Linked DNA regions of Schizosaccharomyces pombe. The gene in region 1 interacts genetically with each later gene. Each region holds a gene or a part of one and is shown in the gene's direction. Other genes may lie near its edges.

Region 1 (10,197 bases):
TATATACGATATCCTTATTTAGTTTTCGTAGTGAATACATATTAAGGGCGAGGCTCTTTTTCACCGACATATATTTAATTTAAAGAAATTTTTATTGTAGATACTAGTTTATGATTTTTGGAAGACTACAAGTAGTAAAATTAAAACTTACCTAACTATTTTAAAACTACATTTTCGTAGTCCATTTAGAAATTATGTATACCTTAATTAGCTACTACATAGTAAGATTGCTCAGTATTGATTTTGTTTACCAAGCTTTTCATCGTTCATTCTTTTTTTTAGCCGATTTCATGCATCATCTTCGAGAGTATCTAAATTAAATGTTTAAATCCACCCACAAATTATTTTTATTTGTAAGATATTAATCAATTGGACATTTGCAATAAAATTATCTATTTATGTGCTGATTTTACATTCGTTAAAACATATAATGTAGTTCATGGTCGTGTTATTAATCACTTTAGACAGTTTAGCGAGTTGGCGTCTTTATGAAATCCGCGTCGCCAGATATTAAGCCGTTCTTGGCATCATAATAATGGCTAAACTTTTTTATTAATTACTTTTATTGAAATTTTTTGAATTCAAATGCCAAGGTTCTTTAAAATTTAGAGATTAAGTAGTACATAAAGAAACGCGAACTCTCGATTCATCATGTGGTCAAAGTTATCGATTTCTTCAAAAATTAATCGTATTCGCGACCCTGAAAGCGATAATACGATTGAAGATACTCACGTTGCTCGTGTAATGAGAAAATACTATATGGACAAAATTGGGACATTACCTGAATGGCTTCGTCCTCCTGGATGGCAGCCTCCAGTTAACACAGGACCTACTTCCCCAGTTAGCATAAATGCAAGTAATGCGGCTCCTTCAAATTTAAAAGCTTCATATATTCCGGCCAATCCTAGGAGGCTATCGTCCTCCACTTCCTCTGCTTCGTCTCCCCCTTTACGACGATTACCTTCTGTTCAACATAGTACCTTTGACGATTTGTTTGAAGGTGTCGGAAGTCTTCAAAAATCACCTTCCACCACGAAACCTCTTTCCTCTACACCTTCCGGCTCATTGCTACGGTCAAAATTTGATCACACTAGAAAGAAGTTTTAGTTGACACAACGATACCTTTACTTTACTCTCATTGGTATCTGTTAATGGCGTATTAATGATCAAAACGACTTTTTGTTTCTTTGAAAATGCTGTTACTACGTATGTGTTATTCTCAACCTCGTTTGTTAATAACTAAGCCCATCTTACCCAGAAGTTCGACATTTGTCAGTACAGAGGCATAATTACTTATTTTACAACTTTGAGTTAGCTCACCTTTTCTGGTTTTTCCTTTAGTAATTATTTTTGGAATGACCTGACAATAAGGTGCACTATCCTAAGCAACTCGCCTTTAGTTTGAGAACTATCATTTAGTCTAATTAAATAACCATCACATGTTCTTTATGTTTCTAACCGGATTGTAGCTTTAAAAATTAAACTGTTCAAAAAGCGCTTGGTAGAATTAAAGCTAGTAGCTGAAATCAATTCAACATTATAAAAACTTATCGTTACATACAGCGCATCGTATAGGTTTCTTTAATTTCTAACTCGAACACTTAGGGACGAATTGTGAAAATTCGTTATTGTAATTTAATATGGTATGTAAATAAAAGCACCAATGGATTCGTTCTTGTGATTCTCGTTTATTTGCAAATTTCTGGTTATATTTAGCTCAACGTGACAACAAAATATGTTACGAATGCTTTGTAAGTAAAAATGATCTTCACGAATGTATTTTCTCATTGAACAACGTTTTAAGCAACCAGAAACCGCATCCAAATGCAGACTAGACTTACAAGACGAGAATTTCGATTATCCTAAAAATAAAATTTAATACGCTATAACGCAATTTAACCATTATAATATTAGATATATCGAAGTTTCATTTCCTTTCAACTTACTTGTTCGCAAGTATACGTATTATCTTAGATCATTTAAGCCATCCCAACCCTTACTCGCTAAGTGTTCCACTTTATCCAAATTTGAAGGTCAACAAGTTCTGAACATCAACTTTTAGCAAATTTAAAAAAAAGGTTTAATTGAGCTAAAACTTTTCATCACAGTTTCCTTGTTAATACTTGAAAACAAGATCCTGAAAGCAATTACAATGCTGCATTCGTTTATGAAGTAGAGATGCGAAATTCGTCAAAGGGACAGGACCCTAATTTTTCTTATGACTCTATTCTGTCTACTCCAACTCCATCAGCCAGAAGAACTATTGGGCCAAGGGCTCCTAAGTCCAAAACAACGTACCATAAACCTCCATCATCCATAGAATCAGTATCGACGTTAATCCAGCCTAATAAGTCCCAATCAGTTACTTCTCCGTATGTAAAGCAATTTACCTTTTCATCGAAAGAGTACAATTCTCATAATAAACATGCTTTGCAAAATTCCCAGCTTCCTTTACCTAAAACACCCGAGAAATCTACTGTCCATCGACCCAAAGCGAATAAAGTTGAAGTCACTGATCTACCATCTTCGTCTTCCGTTGAACATTTGCACACTTCTAAACATCTCAAGGGTCCTAGGTTGCCCAAAAACATTATTAAAAGTTCTGAGGATGTCCAAATTGCTCCAGTGACACCCCCTGTACATTCTCGCTCTTTTGATCCTTTGCCGAAACCTCCTGTTCCCTCAGTTCCAGTATCTAAGACAAAAAGGCGAACTAAGCATAAACTTGCTCCTGTTGTTGAAGTCCCTGAGATTACCAACGAGGTTTCCCCAAAATTCACTTCTACTAATGATGAACAAGTTTATCGACTACGTTCAATTCGAGCTGGGAGCCCTAATTCGGTATGCTCGTTTCAGTTTGAAATTCCGAGTACTCGACCACCTTCATTGGATCAGCTAATACATCTATTCAACGATTTTTTAAGACACCCTGTATTTGATTTTGACGAAAACGCCATTGAAATGCTTCAAAGTTGTACTCCAGATGAAAAGTGGTGTTTTATTCGTTCTAACTTCGCCGGGTTTGATGATCCTTCTTTCCAAATTCCAGAATTAGCTGCCGTCCATAGACCTGTTTCCTGGTTCGTAATCCAACTATGGAATAAAACAATTAGTAATTTACAACTTATCACACTTTCTTCTTTATTATCAACTCAATCCGATCGATGGATATCTCTTTTTCTTGAACTGCAGGGACTTCGAGCTTTGCATAATCTACTTACATATTTTAATTCGTCTGCCGTAGTGCAGCCTCAGCAAGCTGAAGTTCCTCGTTGCATGCTTACTCTTTTGAAGAAAAAACCTACTCTGGTTACTTCCAATTCTTATATATTTCAAGCAATAACAGTGACCCTTATATCCCCAAATTTGCTTCCGAGGAAAGTAGCCGCAGATTTATTGACATGGGTTCTGTCTTTAAAGGAACCTCTTGTGGTCTCCATATTGGAAACTGGATTTAAAGAAATAAATGCCGAATATGAAAAGGAGGTTCCGCTATTCTTTGGATGGATAAAATCTTTCAAAGACATAATCTTGGAAAAAGAATTAGCACGAACCCCTCCATCTTCTCCTGCTCGAAATTCTGCTTCCAGCTCACCTTCAAACATAGCGTTTCTTGAGTATTGTACTTCCACTATGGAATTTATCAATCAGCTAATTGTTGCTTGCGAAGAATTGGAGCAAGGATTTGACCTTGATATATTGGATTCCCTTCGTGAATCAGGTATACACGAAGTTATACAACTTCTACGTAACTTTCCTGACCAACAACTTGAGAAACAACTAAACATATATGAATCAGAAGAAGAGAGGAGGACTATAAGTCAGACCACGCATGAAGATGTCGATTCCTTTATGTCAAATGAATCCTCAATTTTAAGTAGCTTCAATGAATTTGCATCAAATGAAGTTGGCCGTTTACTTGAATCAACTATTCAAAACATACTACTTGCCAAAGGTACTGAAAAGCAAAAGGTGAAACTTATCAAGGTTTTTAACTCTTTACTTCAAAGAATACTGCTCAATTCAAAAGTATCCAATGAAAGTTTTGAAGATAGTTTACAGGCATCTTTAAATATGCTAACCGAAAGATTCTATTCGGATGACACAGCCAGAAATGCTTTGAAGGAAGCAAAGGCGTCACGTGCAATGGCTGAGAAAATGGTTATTGAAAGAGATGCAATGGCTGCGCAAGTAAATCTGGGTGCCGAAGACTTAATTGCGAAGTTAAACAAAGAAGTAGAGGATCAGAAAGACGTTATTCTTTCTCAGAAAAGAACGAATGAGACTCTAAAAACAGAAATTGATGCTCTCCAAAAGTCTCATGTTACTCAAATCCAAAGGAGCGAAGTGGAATTACGAGAATTGTATCTTCTTATCAATTCGGATTCTTTTCAGGGCTCAACTAATTCCAAGGAAAGGATTATAGAATATTTGTTGGATAAGCTTGACTTGAGGAAAAAGGAAATTGCTGCAGAGTCAACACTTTGGTCAAACGATGGAATTGATGACAAACTTCGGGATCTAAGGGAGCAAATGTCTCGACAGTCCAGCCAGCCCTCAACTGTGTCAACTATTTTACAAATTCCTGATAAAAAATTTCATCGTCCATTCCCTCGTCATTTACATCGATATGTTGGTCGTTCAGCTTCTGAATCGTTAACCAGTGAAAAGGATGAGTCCATCAAAAGTATGAAAGGAATTGATGACTTTGCGAACTTGGAGATTCCGGGAAAGGGTATTGAGTCAAACGTCGTAATAAAGGATATTTCAAATCAAACGCATGAGATTAATAGCGTTGAGAACAAAGCAGAAACAGTTAGCAACAATAGTAAAATTACGAACTTTGATATTCCTAATGATGCAACTTCTTTACCAACGATAATTACACATCCAACTCCACCACCACCTCCTCCTCTTCCTGTTAAAACTAGTTTAAATACCTTTTCCCATCCTGATTCTGTGAACATCGTTGCTAATGATACATCGGTTGCTGGGGTTATGCCTGCTTTTCCACCACCACCACCACCTCCTCCTCCCTTAGTAAGTGCAGCTGGAGGTAAATTCGTATCCCCAGCTGTTTCAAATAATATATCAAAAGATGATTTGCATAAGACTACTGGTTTGACTCGTCGACCAACTCGTCGTTTGAAGCAAATGCATTGGGAGAAGTTGAATTCTGGGCTGGAATTTACATTTTGGACGGGACCTTCTGACGAGGCCAACAAAATTTTGGAAACCTTGCATACATCAGGGGTCTTAGATGAATTAGATGAAAGTTTTGCGATGAAGGAAGCAAAAACATTGGTCAAAAAAACATGTGCTAGAACTGATTACATGAGTAGTGAACTTCAGAAGCTTTTTGGTATTCACTTTCACAAGCTGTCTCACAAAAATCCGAATGAGATCATTCGCATGATTTTACATTGTGATGATAGCATGAACGAGTGTGTTGAATTTTTATCAAGTGACAAAGTACTAAATCAACCTAAATTAAAAGCAGATTTGGAGCCTTATCGTATTGACTGGGCAAATGGTGGTGATCTAGTTAATAGCGAAAAGGATGCTTCAGAGCTTAGTCGTTGGGACTATCTTTATGTGAGACTTATAGTTGATCTTGGGGGTTATTGGAACCAAAGAATGAATGCACTAAAAGTTAAAAACATAATCGAAACCAATTATGAGAACCTTGTTCGTCAAACAAAACTTATAGGGCGGGCTGCTCTTGAGCTTCGGGACAGCAAAGTTTTTAAAGGTTTGCTATATTTAATTCTATATTTAGGAAACTATATGAACGATTATGTGCGCCAAGCTAAAGGATTTGCCATTGGTTCACTTCAAAGACTTCCATTGATAAAAAATGCCAATAACACTAAAAGTTTACTTCATATACTTGATATAACTATTAGGAAGCATTTTCCTCAGTTTGACAACTTTTCCCCTGAACTATCAACCGTCACTGAAGCAGCCAAACTGAATATTGAAGCGATTGAACAAGAGTGCTCCGAGTTAATTCGTGGTTGTCAGAATTTACAAATAGACTGTGATTCTGGGGCTCTTTCCGACCCTACGGTATTTCATCCTGATGATAAAATCCTTTCAGTTATATTACCCTGGTTAATGGAAGGCACCAAAAAAATGGATTTTTTGAAAGAGCATTTACGTACAATGAATACTACCCTGAACAATGCTATGAGATATTTTGGTGAACAGCCTAATGACCCTAATTCCAAGAACCTGTTCTTTAAACGTGTTGATTCTTTCATAATTGACTACTCTAAGGCTAGATCTGACAACTTGAAATCGGAAGAAGAAGAAGCTTCACAGCATAGACGTTTGAATCTTGTCAACAATCATAAAGAACACGTGCTTGAACGTGCAATGTCTGAAAATAACAAAATGGATAATGAAGCAATGGATGGTTTCCTTGATAAATTGAGAAACGTCAAATTAGAAAGTCACCATAAACCACGAAATAGATCCGCCATTACTATGGGTAAAGAACATTTAATAGAAGCTCCTAACACTTCTACTAAATCTAGTCCTGCAAAAAACGAATTATTTGTTCCTAAGAGATCTTCGGTAAAAAGTGACTTGGCAAAAGTTAGGCCAAGGTATCCTAAGGGTAGTGAATCAACCGATGGATTATCTGACGCATTAAATATTACTCCAACGAAAAAAGGAGAAGTATCTAGCAAAGCTAAAAAGGGATACAACTACGAAAAGCGTCGTTCGGGCCGTCAGGTATCTGATAGCTATGTCCTTAACAAAAATTCGAAGAATAAAAGTAATAAGGGTCGCTCCGCTTCTTACACTTTTTCTGATCCAAGCAGTTTGGAAGATTCTAATAGGCAAAAACCCTTTAATGGTGAGAAATTTCGAAGGTTTAGTTCAAAATCAAGAAGAGGTTCACAAAACCGGGATTCTAAGAAGACGGGTAAAGCTCGAAAGGATAAAGGTATAAACAATAACCAGACAAGCCCTCAGAATAAACCGTCTAAAGAATCTCTAAAATCTGATACTATTTCAAACGAGAAGAAAGTATTTCCTCAAAAGGCTTCTAAAGTTAATTTGCTTACGCCGACAATTTCAAATGGTACTAGGGCAAGTAAACATGCTAACGAAAAGGAGAATACTTTTCCTCGTGGTGTCGAAAATAATCTGGTTGCTCCCATGATTCCTAATAACACCGAACTTAATGAAGATACCAGCGCTGTCTCTCGGAACTTAGAAAATGCCACCAATGACTTGAAGGAAACTTTTCCGACTACAACTACGATTTCAACAGCCAGAGCTAAACCTGGTAACAATGATATTAACACTATTTTACGAAGAAACAATAGCCGTGGCCGTCGACGCATGTTGCAGCAAATGAGTCCTTTGAAAAGCAATAAATTTTCGGGAACTAATGATTTGAATTTTCAACAAGCTACTAAACCAGACGGCAGCAATAAGTCCTCATATATGGAACGTCTGGAAAAATTGAAACAAAACTCTGAACGACATCTTCAATCAGTAGGAGGTAAGAAGGTTTATTCTTCTGAAGAAACGCCCGTCAACAAAATATTAGTATCGCCTTCCGTTTCTATTTTGGATCATAACCGAATCTTAAGTCAAAGTACTCCTATCAAATCACCACAACGAGCACAAGAAATGCTTGCAGGTTTATTATCTGGAAAATTGGCGCCTAAGGAGAATGAGAAATAGGTTAATGATGCAATCTTTCTACCATTGCATAATTTTTTTTTCTAATTTTGGAAGTTAGTTTAGTTGGAAGATTGCCCTTTTTTTGAAGTGTGTATCATGTTCATCATTTTTAATAGAAAGAGCTGGCTCGTTTGACATTTTGTCATATTTCTTTAAAAATCTTCTTATGAGTATGTAAATATAATGATTTAAATCCCTATTCTATTTATCATAATGTCTGTTGCGCAAATTGATGTAGAACTCTGTAAAATTTTTCAATCTGAAGTAAAATAGGACTAATGTTAAGATGAAAATCGTTTAGAAATCATTCGATGTGTGCTAATGTTTCTTCGTTTCTTTTATAAAGTGACGAATCATTGGCGAAGACTCACTATTTAAATATTGCTCAATTATATTTTCGGTGTAATTAACTTGTTACATTTTCTAAGGCAAATACATTGTGCTGTTGCAGAACTGTCTTTTCGAGAAACATACTCTGATTGATGTATCGTTGGTAGAATGGTAGAACACGAGCATGCATTAAGTCAAACATTCTACAAAATGAAATTTCAATTATTTTTATACACATGTTGTTTTTCGAGAAGTCTAAAATTAGTCTACGCTCGAGTAGTAGCATGTATAATTCAGTAAATAGCATAACTATTAACTATTGAGATTGTTTATGTGCTTAATCTTTTTTTATAATTTAACTAGTGCTCATTGAAATAGATTGACGACGAGCTTTTTAAACGCTTTAACTACCAACTTGCGCTGACCACTCACTATTGGTTTTAAGTTCAACGGATTTAGAAGATTAGCGCGCACATCTTGACCACCGAACTACCCAACACCAACGTTGTGAAAATTTTAAATTCGTAATCTTTCTTTGAAAATTGGAATTATTGGTATATAATTAAATTTCAGAGTCTACATTACTTGGTTTAAATTTAAACCGAGTTTTAGAAATAACAATGAGCAATTCTCGAAACATTGTAATTGTCGGTGGTATGTGACTTTAAAAATAGCTGGACTCATGATCTCTTTTATCTTAACTCATATATTGTTGATGTTGTTGATATTGACAAGAAGTTCATCAGCTTTATGACGGTGAAACTTCTTTCCTGCCATGCTCAGATGAGCTTTGCTTTGATTGCTATTTTACTTTACTGCCGCAATTTTCATAACTTACTAACAAATATTTTTCAGGTGGAATCACCGGTGTGAGCTGTTTATATTTTTTGGCTCATCACCCCAGTTTTAATCGTGATCGTGACACTATAACACTTTTTGAAAGTGCTGGTATTGCATCTGCCGCTTCTGGAAAAGCATCTGGTTTCCTTTCCTTAGAATGGCATGGCCCTTCGACGAGTTCTTTAGCTGCTCTTTCGTACAACCTACACAAAGAATTATCGGATCAATATGATGGAGTCAATAAATGGGGTTATCGAGCGTTAGATACTTGGTCCATTAAAGCTGACGAAAATTGCCAACAACCTGATAAATTGCCTGAGGGAATTGAATGGATTGCTCCCTCTATTGTTGAGAATGTTACTCGTTTAGGAAACAAGAAAAATTCTGGTCAAGTTCATCCTTATAAATTTTGTCATGCTATTTACGAAGAGGCCAGTAAGGTTGCAAACGTTACCTTGGTAAAAGGTCATGTATTAAGTGTTGATGAAAATGAAGTTGAATATCGGCTTATTGGTGATGACTACGCCCCGGATGAAGAGGAGGAAATTACTTCGGCTGAAGAACTGCATACCATTCATTCAATGGAGGCAACTCACATAATTGTCGCTGCCGGTCCTTGGACTCCCCAATTAATACCCAACTTGCGAATAAGTGGAGCACGAATTCATAGCATAACTATCGATCTTCCTATCAAGCTAAACGGCAATGCTGTATTTTCTGAAATTACCTATAAAGATGGGACAATTGCTGCTCCGGAGTTTTATGCACGTGAAGATGAGCTGTATGTATGTGGTGAATTCGATGACGAGCCTTTGCCTGAATTGTCGTCAGATACGAAGGTGGATCAAGATAAATGCGCTTTGATTAAACAATGTGCCAACCATTTCCACCAAATAATTCGTGATTCTCCTGTTAAAGTTCGTCAAGCGTGTTATTTGCCCATTTCTAATGCAACGGGTGCTCCTGTCATTGGAAAAATTGGTTCATCTATTTATGTTGCGGCAGCTCACGGCTGTTGGGGTATAACTTTGGGACCTGGTACAGGAAAAGTGTTATCTGAACTCATTTTGGATGGTGCTGTTACTAGCGCAAACATTGATCTTTTAGATCCGGAAGGTTCTTTGGAATAAAATCACCTTAATTATGGCCATATTTGTCTTCATATCCCTTCTTGTTTCTTATTTTTTTACGCTTAGCCTTTTATCCTTTATTTTCACTCTTTTATTCATCACATTCTCATTTATGAGAAAAGTCTAGGCATATTTTGGGAAACATATTTTCGAATCATGGTATTGATAAGATCATGATTATGAACGACTACTT
Region 2 (4,077 bases), on another chromosome or scaffold:
TGCCATTTCAAGTTCTACTGGATCGCTGTATTTTGCATGGAATTTTGGTGCCGAAGGAGGTATCGCAACTCATCATTGGATTTTGAGGGCCTGTCTTGTACATGGGATTCAACAGATTTGGTCTGCAATCCTCTGGTCATGGGGAGATCTATTATCGAAGAAAGATTTGACTCAAAATGTGGGGCCTGGCATTTTTGCAGGGGGACTTATCGCCTCTTTCATTTGCTTCGGGCTTTCCTACGTAACATTCGCAGGTTTACCTGCTTTTTATCGCCAAGCTCCTTCTATCATTCCAGCGTTTTATCGTTCATTAGGAAAACGAAATATTGTAATTTGGTTTTTTATCTCTCAAATTTTAATCAATTACTGGCTTGCTGTCCCTTATGGCCAGGCTTGGAGGTTTTTCTGGAATACTAGCAACACTCCTTTGTGGAGCATAATCATTCTTTTACTCATTTTCTTCATCGTGGTTTGGGCCGTTCTCTTATCAGTTATAAAGATTTTGTCTCTTAATAACGTTTGGTTTCCAGTGATATTTGGATTGGGCCTCATTTGTCCACGCTGGTGCTTAGAGTTTTGGTCATCCTCGGGTCTCGGAATTAATTTACCATGGGCTGGTAAGGCTTCTGCCTTGCTGACGAAGTCAGTATGGCTTTTGCTAGCTCTATGGGACGGGATACAGGGAGTCGGTGTCGGTGTAATGTTACTGCAAACCCTGGCGAGAGATCATGTTGCTTTCACGTTGATGCTAGCGCAAGTTATAAGTTGTATTACAATTATGATCGCAAAACCTTCTCTGCCTGTAAGTGATCGAGTATTCCCAAATCTTGGTGCATGGAATCCTAGCGAAGGACCGGGACCTTGTGCATCACCTTGCTTTTATATTGCACTAATATGTCAATTTGTAGCTGTTGGAGGATTGCTCTATCACTATCGTAAAAGTCAGCTTGCTCTTTAGTGTTTGATCTACGATAATGAGACGGTGTTTGGGTTGTTTTTACTGAATTTTTCTTTTATTTTATGACATCTTAATTTTTATGTTAATGATTATTCTTATACTTTTATCTATCTTTGATTAAAACTAATATTCATTCTTTTGATCACTAATTATTTTTATAGTATACGATTCAACCCAACTATAATACATTGTATCAAGAGAAATTTTTAATTAGATGTAATTTAATAGCCATTTGATAAAAAAAAATTACCTTTTTTTTTGCTAGTGTTAAATTATTGATCATAACAATGTCGAATGAATACTAATAAAATAGGGACACGCGAGTTGCAAATACTTGAAATACCTTTGAAGATTTGTCTGTGAATTTTGATAAGATTTTTATGACCATCTCTTTTATATTCGATATCGTGAACTTTCATTTTCTTTTGTTTTTTGCTTTTCAAGTTAAATAACGCGGAAATTATATTTCCTTATATGTTTATAAGAGCTTTTAAAGGATTTGCTATATCGCTTACAGTACTACAACCGGTTGCTCAATGTTATCCGTTTCCGCGGTCTTCTTCCGTGCGCATTCTGCCGTGAAGTGCTAACGCTGTGTGTGGCTTTATCAAAAAAGTGGCTCAAATATAGCAATTTCATACATATTTAAACACCCATTATACTTAAATGTATATTTTAAAATATATAAGAGATTTTCACTGTATAACTGTGTATCTTATCTATATGTAATCAACGGCTTCATACCACCTCAGCCAGCCGTGTTATAACTTACCGTTTACCAACTACATTTTTTGTAACGAACCAAAAAACCCTCAAAAGACAAGACCATGGAAGAAGAAATCGCAGCGTTGGTTATTGATAATGGCTCTGGTATGTGCAAAGCCGGTTTCGCTGGAGATGATGCCCCTAGAGCTGTATTCCCCTCGATTGTCGGTAGACCCCGTCACCATGGTATTATGGTAGGTATGGGACAAAAGGATTCCTACGTTGGTGATGAAGCTCAAAGCAAGCGTGGTATTTTGACCTTGAAGTACCCCATTGAGCACGGTATTGTCAACAACTGGGATGATATGGAAAAGATTTGGCATCACACTTTCTACAACGAGCTTCGTGTTGCTCCTGAGGAGCACCCTTGCTTGTTGACTGAGGCTCCTTTGAACCCCAAATCCAACCGTGAGAAGATGACTCAAATTATTTTCGAAACCTTTAATGCACCTGCCTTTTATGTTGCTATTCAAGCTGTTTTGTCTTTGTATGCCTCTGGTCGTACCACTGGTATCGTCTTGGACTCTGGTGATGGTGTTACCCACACTGTTCCCATTTATGAGGGTTATGCTCTTCCTCATGCTATCATGCGTCTTGATCTCGCCGGTCGTGACTTGACTGACTACCTTATGAAGATTCTCATGGAGCGTGGTTATACTTTCTCTACTACCGCCGAACGTGAAATTGTTCGTGACATCAAGGAGAAACTTTGCTACGTCGCTTTGGACTTTGAGCAAGAACTTCAAACTGCTGCTCAATCTTCCTCCCTTGAGAAATCTTATGAGCTTCCTGATGGTCAAGTTATCACTATCGGAAACGAGCGTTTCCGTGCCCCTGAAGCTCTTTTCCAACCCTCAGCTTTGGGTCTTGAAAACGCCGGTATTCATGAGGCTACTTACAACTCTATCATGAAATGTGATGTTGATATTCGTAAAGATTTGTACGGTAACGTTGTTATGTCTGGTGGTACCACTATGTATCCCGGTATTGCCGATCGTATGCAAAAGGAGATTCAAGCCCTTGCTCCTAGCTCCATGAAGGTCAAGATTGTTGCTCCTCCTGAGCGTAAATACTCTGTCTGGATTGGTGGATCCATTCTTGCTTCTCTTTCTACTTTCCAACAGATGTGGATCTCCAAGCAAGAGTATGATGAGAGCGGACCTGGTATCGTTTACCGTAAGTGCTTCTAAGCTCCTCTTACTTTTTGTAACGTTTTTTACATACTTTTGAATAACATCGATTCTTCTGATATATATAAATTTCAATCTTTTTTTACCTATTTAACCACCTTTTTCCGCTCTTAACATCTCATGAGGAACTTTGGGTATCAATTATTGGAGTGTTTTATATACTTTCTGATTACTATCGTTTTCTTGCTCTGTTTTCTTTTTTTCATTATAGACGAATGCAGAGCTAGCCTTTTACATATTGAAGTTACAGAAATATTTCCAGTAGATACCTATGATGTTACTTCATTCGCTTATAACTTCCCGTTTTCTTTAACATGTTTCTTCTCGAGTCCGGCCGATTATTTTTGTCGATATTTTCGTTATGTTTATCGCTGTGATTATCGATTAAAGAACTGTAGTAAATGAATTTTACTTACTCCCGTTAATTTTTACGAATTTTATTTTGTACAAGGTGGTAACTGCGAGATAGTTAGAAGCGGAAGTGGTGCAATGTACTTCATCAGCCATTTCTTTTCGTCCTGTAGAGTTGTATCATCTTCAGTACTGATTTAATTGGTACCTGAACTTGTATAACTTTGAAGCCAAATGGTTGAATGTGTTTTACATTAGTATTAGCAAAAGTTTATTAGGTCAAAAAAAGATTTAATACATACATGGTATATGATCATTGTTGGATAGTATAGTTGAGGTAAAATTCTTATAAATTGTAAGACATTGGTATGATTAGTGTTCTTCAAATATAAAAAGAGAGGAAGTAGTGAATTATGAAGCTGTAGGAGATGGAGCCCGATTAGCCAGTTGTATAGTTGAGCGATTAATATATAGTGACAAAGTAATTTGGACTGACGACGCCTCTCTGTATAAACAAATCCAATGATATTACATTCCTATGACTTTATTTAGAATTGTTTCGTCAACATATATTATTACAAGAGATTATTATTTTTTTTTGTAGTATTATGATAATATTAAAACCATTGTTCAAAGAATAAGAGAAAAATGTTAACCATATTAAATAAAATAAGTTGCTGCTGAAACATGGAAAGAAAAGATCCATCGAAATTTGCAGAACATGTATGAAAAAGGATGGCCAAGACCCGGTGCCTGAACTCGTGACAGAGTATAGACGCATTAAAACGAACGTTAAATGATGTTGATGAAAAA
Region 3 (7,355 bases), on another chromosome or scaffold:
GTGAGCGAACTTTGGTTTTTTATAAAGAGGGACTCGGTAATACTACAACCATAATTTGCTGTGAACCAGTGATCGGCTTAGGACATAACTATCAGAAAACATATGCCTTCAAGAGAAAAGATGTTACTTCCTTCAGAACTCTGGATGATTTTCACGTAACGGCTAACTGTCATTCAATTGATTGCTTTAAGTATTCAATTGCTCTTTGTCACAATAAAGGCATTGACGTTCTGCGTTTGGACCCTAAATTAGCAGTTGGTTTTCCAAGCCCTTCAGTGCTTAATGATACGTTGTTTCGGAACCGAATCAACAACAGTAAGCCGCTTGGCGTCTTTCGCATCCACGATCCTAGCTTATTTGCATGCTGCTATCAATTCGGTGCCGTGTTTGTCAATGGAGAGGGTAGTATGGTTAATAAAGAGTGTTGGTTTGATTGGATTGGCAAACCGAACTCTGTTACCAGCTGTCATGGATATCTCATTGCATTTAATGATGAATTTGTCGAAATATGGAACACGCGAACTAGGAAACTTAATCAAATTATCCAAGGAAATGACATTAAATACTACCCTAGTAACAGTGATTGGCTAGCCAATGGGAAATATATAATGTTTGGCATGGTTCATCCTCAGTATCACGATCGCCATTTGATACTCGCTTTAAATAAGGCAAAAACAAACTCCTTCATAATTGAAGATTGATAATTATCATATTTATTACAAGTTTTCTTGCCATGATTGTCTTTTTTACTCATCCATACTTTTGAATATCGGAAACGTTTATCTTATTTTGTTTTACGGAACATCCTGCATCTTTCGAATCATATTTTATCGCAGCCTTGAAATTTTATTTCTTCTTTTTTTTTTTTTTTACATTTCCCTACCCATTTTATCACAAAGGAATATTAAAATCTGCATGCATTAACATTTTTTAATTACTTAAAATGATCGCTACTATCATTATGTTCAGTGTTAAGCCAAAATTGGCTTATTGTACAAGTTGCATAAACTTGCCGACTACAGTTGATGAAAACAGAGAACATTGTTGTTTTTTTACGTAACTGGTTATGGTATTCTGCATGTTTTGATCATAAGTTTAAAGATGTGGTTACACATTGAAGCACCATGCTTTCTTTCAAACACTAACTGAAGCAACTAACATTTCTGTATATTTACTTATTGATTATTACCAGGGCCATAGCTGTAGATGGTCAGTAAGCACATAATAATTACTGATTGCGATTATTAGCTAGAGCGTGTTCTTATAATTATTCAGTAAGAGGCATGATTAGAGTGCTATATATAAAATGTAGATAAATAAATGCCGAGTTTAGTTATTTGCTTTAAAAGTTGTGTTCGGTACGATGAGGAACATATTATTTGCGTATCTAGTCACAAATTACTCATATATCTGTAATAGCGGGAGTTTTTTATACAATCATTTTACCTAAAAGCACGGGGGAACATGAAATTTCGATTAAACCGTAACCCCTAATCCTACGTTCATTTGATGTTTTGAGTATTAGTACAATGTATTTTCAATTATTACTTAATATCTTCAATCTTGATGAAAGTAAAGCTTTAAAAATTTGTCAGGACTTTAATTGCAAAAGACCGAGTATATAATGACCTCCATCTATTAATATTATTTCTTTTAAAAGATATATATACCTTCTTAATTGTGATATTAAAATCATTATGTTATAGGAATGTTTCTGGATGCTACCTTAACCTATACTAAATGTTTTAACGCAAATATGATCAAGTACATAAACGTTCGATTAACGCATGCGTTAATCGAATGTTCAAGTGCTTAAATCATTAATTGCTGTGCGTTCAACGGGGAGTACAAAAAGTATCCAACAACATAGTTCTTTAACGTTTTCTCTGTGCATTTGTTGATCCTTCTTTTCGGATATATCTATTGCTATCTTTTTGGATTTTTTCACTCTTTGATTTTTGGTCTATCCTTATTGTTTTACAAGGTTTTGGTATTGTACACCGCATTGTTTATTTTCAGGAAAGGCGGTAAATAACCGTCTTAGAGAGTAGCCCGATGACAGAAGTAATATCTAATAAAATAACTGCAAAAGATGGTGCAACTAGTCTGAAGGATATTGATGATAAACGATGGGTTTGGATTTCCGACCCAGAGACTGCCTTTACCAAGGCTTGGATTAAAGAGGATCTGCCAGACAAGAAATATGTTGTTCGGTATAATAATTCCAGGGATGAGAAGATCGTTGGTGAGGATGAAATTGATCCGGTGAATCCTGCCAAGTTTGATAGAGTCAATGACATGGCTGAGTTGACATACTTAAACGAGCCTGCAGTCACATACAATCTTGAACAGAGATATCTCTCTGATCAAATTTATACCTATTCTGGGCTCTTTCTCGTTGCGGTCAATCCTTATTGTGGACTACCAATCTATACGAAGGACATCATTCAATTGTACAAAGATAAAACACAAGAGCGCAAGCTACCTCATGTCTTCGCAATCGCGGATTTAGCATACAATAACCTTTTAGAAAATAAGGAAAATCAATCGATTCTTGTAACTGGTGAGTCCGGCGCAGGTAAAACAGAGAATACCAAAAGAATCATCCAATATCTTGCAGCAATTGCTAGCTCGACTACCGTTGGCTCTAGTCAGGTTGAAGAGCAGATCATTAAAACGAATCCTGTGCTCGAATCATTTGGTAATGCTCGTACCGTACGCAACAACAATTCTTCTCGTTTTGGAAAATTCATTAAAGTTGAGTTTTCTTTGAGTGGGGAAATTTCGAATGCCGCCATAGAATGGTATCTTCTTGAAAAATCTCGCGTTGTTCATCAGAACGAGTTTGAAAGAAACTACCATGTTTTTTATCAGCTTTTAAGTGGTGCTGATACTGCTCTCAAGAACAAACTTCTTTTAACCGATAACTGTAATGATTATCGATATTTGAAGGATTCGGTTCACATTATTGATGGAGTTGACGATAAAGAAGAGTTTAAAACTCTTTTAGCTGCTTTTAAAACTCTTGGATTTGACGATAAAGAGAACTTTGATTTATTTAATATACTTTCCATTATTCTACATATGGGAAATATTGATGTCGGTGCTGATCGCTCTGGTATAGCTCGTCTTCTCAATCCTGATGAGATTGACAAGCTCTGTCATTTGCTTGGTGTGTCTCCGGAGTTATTTTCACAAAATCTTGTTCGACCTCGTATTAAAGCAGGCCATGAATGGGTTATCAGCGCTCGAAGTCAAACTCAAGTCATTTCGTCCATTGAAGCATTAGCAAAAGCCATATACGAAAGGAATTTTGGATGGCTGGTAAAGCGACTTAACACTTCCTTGAACCATTCCAATGCCCAAAGCTACTTTATTGGTATTTTAGATATCGCCGGTTTCGAAATCTTTGAGAAAAACAGTTTTGAACAACTTTGCATTAATTACACAAATGAAAAGTTGCAACAATTCTTTAACCATCACATGTTCGTATTGGAGCAAGAAGAATATATGAAAGAAGAAATTGTATGGGATTTCATTGATTTTGGACATGATTTACAGCCGACTATTGATTTAATCGAGAAAGCAAACCCAATAGGTATTCTTTCATGTTTGGATGAAGAATGTGTTATGCCGAAAGCAACTGATGCTACGTTTACTTCTAAACTTGATGCTCTTTGGAGGAACAAGTCGCTAAAATATAAACCTTTTAAGTTTGCCGATCAAGGTTTTATTTTGACTCATTATGCCGCTGATGTTCCTTACAGTACAGAAGGTTGGCTGGAGAAGAACACCGATCCTTTGAATGAAAACGTTGCTAAGTTGCTTGCGCAATCTACTAACAAGCATGTCGCTACACTATTTTCTGATTATCAGGAAACTGAGACTAAAACTGTTAGGGGAAGGACGAAAAAGGGCCTTTTTCGAACTGTTGCTCAAAGGCATAAAGAGCAGCTCAATCAGCTTATGAATCAATTTAACTCGACCCAACCTCACTTTATTCGTTGTATTGTTCCAAACGAAGAAAAGAAAATGCACACCTTTAATAGACCCCTCGTTTTAGGACAACTTCGATGTAATGGTGTTTTGGAAGGAATCAGAATCACAAGGGCTGGTTTTCCTAACCGTTTACCATTTAATGATTTTAGAGTCAGATATGAGATAATGGCGCATTTACCAACAGGTACCTATGTGGAATCTCGACGTGCTTCTGTCATGATTTTGGAGGAGTTGAAAATTGACGAAGCATCTTATCGAATTGGTGTTTCAAAAATATTTTTCAAAGCAGGTGTTTTAGCAGAATTAGAGGAGAGGCGCGTAGCGACTTTACAAAGACTGATGACTATGCTACAAACAAGGATCCGTGGCTTTCTTCAAAGAAAAATTTTTCAAAAGCGATTGAAGGACATACAAGCCATCAAATTACTACAAGCAAATTTGCAAGTGTACAATGAATTTAGAACTTTTCCTTGGGCTAAGTTATTTTTCAATCTAAGGCCCTTATTAAGTAGTACTCAAAATGATAAGCAGCTTAAAAAGCGAGATGCTGAAATCATAGAGCTGAAGTACGAGCTGAAAAAACAACAGAATTCAAAATCTGAGGTAGAGCGTGATCTCGTCGAGACCAACAATTCTTTAACTGCTGTTGAAAATTTGCTTACTACTGAACGTGCGATAGCCCTTGATAAGGAGGAAATATTACGTCGAACACAGGAAAGGCTTGCAAACATAGAAGATTCGTTTAGCGAAACAAAACAGCAAAATGAAAATTTGCAACGAGAGTCAGCGTCATTGAAACAGATTAATAACGAATTAGAAAGTGAGTTACTAGAAAAAACTTCCAAGGTTGAGACTTTGTTATCAGAACAGAACGAACTGAAAGAAAAACTGAGTTTGGAAGAGAAGGATTTGCTAGATACAAAGGGAGAACTTGAGTCTTTACGTGAGAACAATGCAACTGTTTTATCAGAAAAAGCAGAGTTCAATGAACAATGTAAAAGTTTACAGGAAACTATCGTTACCAAGGATGCTGAACTTGATAAACTCACTAAATATATTTCTGACTATAAAACTGAAATTCAAGAAATGAGACTGACAAATCAGAAGATGAATGAAAAGAGTATTCAGCAGGAAGGTTCTTTATCTGAGAGTCTCAAACGAGTCAAAAAATTAGAACGTGAAAATTCTACTCTTATAAGCGACGTCTCTATTTTAAAACAGCAGAAAGAAGAGTTAAGCGTCTTGAAAGGAGTGCAAGAGTTAACAATAAATAACTTAGAAGAGAAGGTTAATTATTTGGAAGCCGATGTCAAACAGCTTCCGAAATTGAAGAAAGAACTAGAATCCTTGAATGACAAAGATCAACTTTATCAGCTCCAGGCTACCAAAAATAAAGAACTGGAAGCCAAAGTTAAAGAATGTTTAAATAACATCAAATCGTTAACGAAAGAGCTTGAAAATAAGGAAGAGAAATGCCAAAATTTGTCAGATGCTTCTTTAAAGTACATTGAATTGCAAGAAATCCATGAGAATTTACTTCTTAAAGTTAGCGACTTGGAGAATTACAAGAAAAAATATGAAGGACTTCAGCTGGACTTGGAGGGGTTAAAAGACGTCGATACAAACTTTCAGGAACTTTCGAAAAAACATCGTGATTTGACCTTTAATCATGAAAGTCTTCTTCGGCAATCGGCGTCCTACAAGGAAAAGCTTTCGTTGGCGAGCTCCGAGAATAAAGATCTCTCTAATAAGGTATCGAGTTTGACGAAGCAAGTAAATGAACTTTCTCCAAAAGCATCTAAGGTTCCCGAACTTGAGAGGAAGATTACTAACTTAATGCACGAGTACAGTCAACTCGGTAAGACCTTTGAAGATGAAAAGCGTAAAGCATTGATAGCTAGTCGAGATAACGAAGAATTACGCTCTTTGAAATCAGAGTTGGAGAGTAAACGAAAGCTTGAAGTTGAGTATCAAAAGGTACTAGAAGAAGTAAAAACAACTAGAAGCCTCCGTTCGGAAGTCACCCTTTTAAGGAACAAAGTTGCTGATCATGAAAGTATACGTAGTAAGCTTTCAGAAGTAGAAATGAAGCTGGTTGATACTCGAAAGGAACTGAATTCTGCTCTTGATTCCTGCAAGAAGCGAGAGGCAGAGATACATCGCCTTAAAGAACATAGACCGTCCGGAAAGGAGAATAATATACCGGCTGTCAAAACTACGGAACCCGTTTTGAAAAATATTCCACAACGAAAGACAATTTTTGATTTACAGCAAAGAAATGCAAATCAAGCGTTATACGAGAACTTGAAACGAGACTACGACCGTCTTAATCTTGAGAAGCACAACTTAGAGAAGCAAGTTAATGAGTTAAAAGGGGCCGAAGTATCACCTCAACCTACTGGCCAATCTTTGCAACATGTCAACTTGGCTCATGCTATTGAATTGAAAGCTCTGAAGGATCAAATAAATAGCGAAAAGGCAAAAATGTTTTCCGTTCAAGTACAATATGAAAAACGTGAGCAGGAGTTACAAAAACGAATTGCTTCTTTGGAAAAAGTGAACAAAGATTCGTTAATAGATGTGAGAGCTTTACGAGATCGCATTGCAAGCCTTGAAGATGAGTTGCGCGCCGCATGAAGTTAAATGATTTTGTAATGATGAAACCTTTATTAATTATATTATATATACTGACATATACTTCTCTTATAAGTTTACGAGCTATTTTTTTATTTTTTTTATTTAACAGCTGTACATAATATTCCCGCTATATAACCAAATATACATCTTAAATTTATATCGAGATATTAGCACGCATATAGGAACTTAAATAATATTACGAATTTTTTTGTAGTAGCGGAGTAAGTATACAATAGCATTAACATGAGACGAGCATAATGTAAAAACCTAAGAGTCATCTATGCTGCACTTGAGGAAGATTGATTCTGATACTCCTGCCGATATTCGGTTAATAGAGCATCCATATCAATGTCTGAATCCGGAAAGAACTCTGTAACGAATGATTTCAAGCCTTCAATAGAAATTTCAGTTACTGCACGGGATCCAATATAATAAACAAACTGGTTATGGGTATCATCTTTCACTCTATCTAAATACCCTTGGCGAACTAAAAGAGATAACGAGCGAGTAATATCCAGATGCAAAGGGGTTGTTTCTTCCTCTGTTAGAAGTTCCTGCAAAAAAGATTGCAGTTCTGAATGTCCTACACTGCAATGAGAAACGGCTATGAATGCGATCACAGTCATCAAAAATCCATAATAAGCAGTATCCAATACCGAATCTACAATTAAGCGAGAATCCTTTTGAAGTTCCATAGGAAGGGTAGACCTCAACACCCA

The links. A genetic interaction does not mean that the proteins touch.
Region 2: mutations in cdc12 (region 1) and act1 are lethal when combined (synthetic lethality), as found in Schizosaccharomyces pombe (3 studies listed by BioGRID, with this or other methods).
Region 3: mutations in cdc12 (region 1) and myo2 are lethal when combined (synthetic lethality), as found in Schizosaccharomyces pombe (4 studies listed by BioGRID, with this or other methods).

The regions. Positions count from the first base shown.
Region 1 is NC_003424.3:281,298-291,494, forward strand, and holds cdc12 (cytokinetic formin Cdc12), read left to right. Parts: upstream 1-2,046; 5' UTR 2,047-2,178; coding exon 2,179-7,704; 3' UTR 7,705-7,903; downstream 7,904-10,197. Other genes in the region: exocytic docking protein Mso1, read left to right, coding at 652-1,107; SPOM_SPAC1F5.03C (FAD-dependent oxidoreductase), read left to right, coding at 8,655-8,688, 8,890-10,004. UniProt on the Schizosaccharomyces pombe protein: Plays a role in the cell cycle. Involved in cytokinesis. Component of the cell division ring. In the absence of profilin, caps the barbed end of actin filaments, thus preventing subunit addition and dissociation.
Region 2 is NC_003423.3:1,474,985-1,479,061, reverse strand, and holds act1 (actin Act1), read left to right. Parts: upstream 1-1,728; 5' UTR 1,729-1,785; coding exon 1,786-2,913; 3' UTR 2,914-3,577; downstream 3,578-4,077. Other genes in the region: spore wall alpha-1,3-glucan synthase Mok12, read left to right, coding at 1-958. UniProt on the Schizosaccharomyces pombe protein: Actins are highly conserved proteins that are involved in various types of cell motility and are ubiquitously expressed in all eukaryotic cells.
Region 3 is NC_003421.2:1,232,731-1,240,085, reverse strand, and holds myo2 (myosin II heavy chain myo2), read left to right. Parts: upstream 1-1,849; 5' UTR 1,850-2,055; coding exon 2,056-6,636; 3' UTR 6,637-6,855; downstream 6,856-7,355. Other genes in the region: RhoGEF for Rho1, Rgf3, read left to right, coding at 1-701; Smc5-6 complex non-SMC MAGE family subunit Nse3, read right to left, coding at 6,915-7,355. UniProt on the Schizosaccharomyces pombe protein: Required for cell division. It is a component of the cdc12 'spot', a structure thought to mark the site of septation. May work in conjunction with myo3.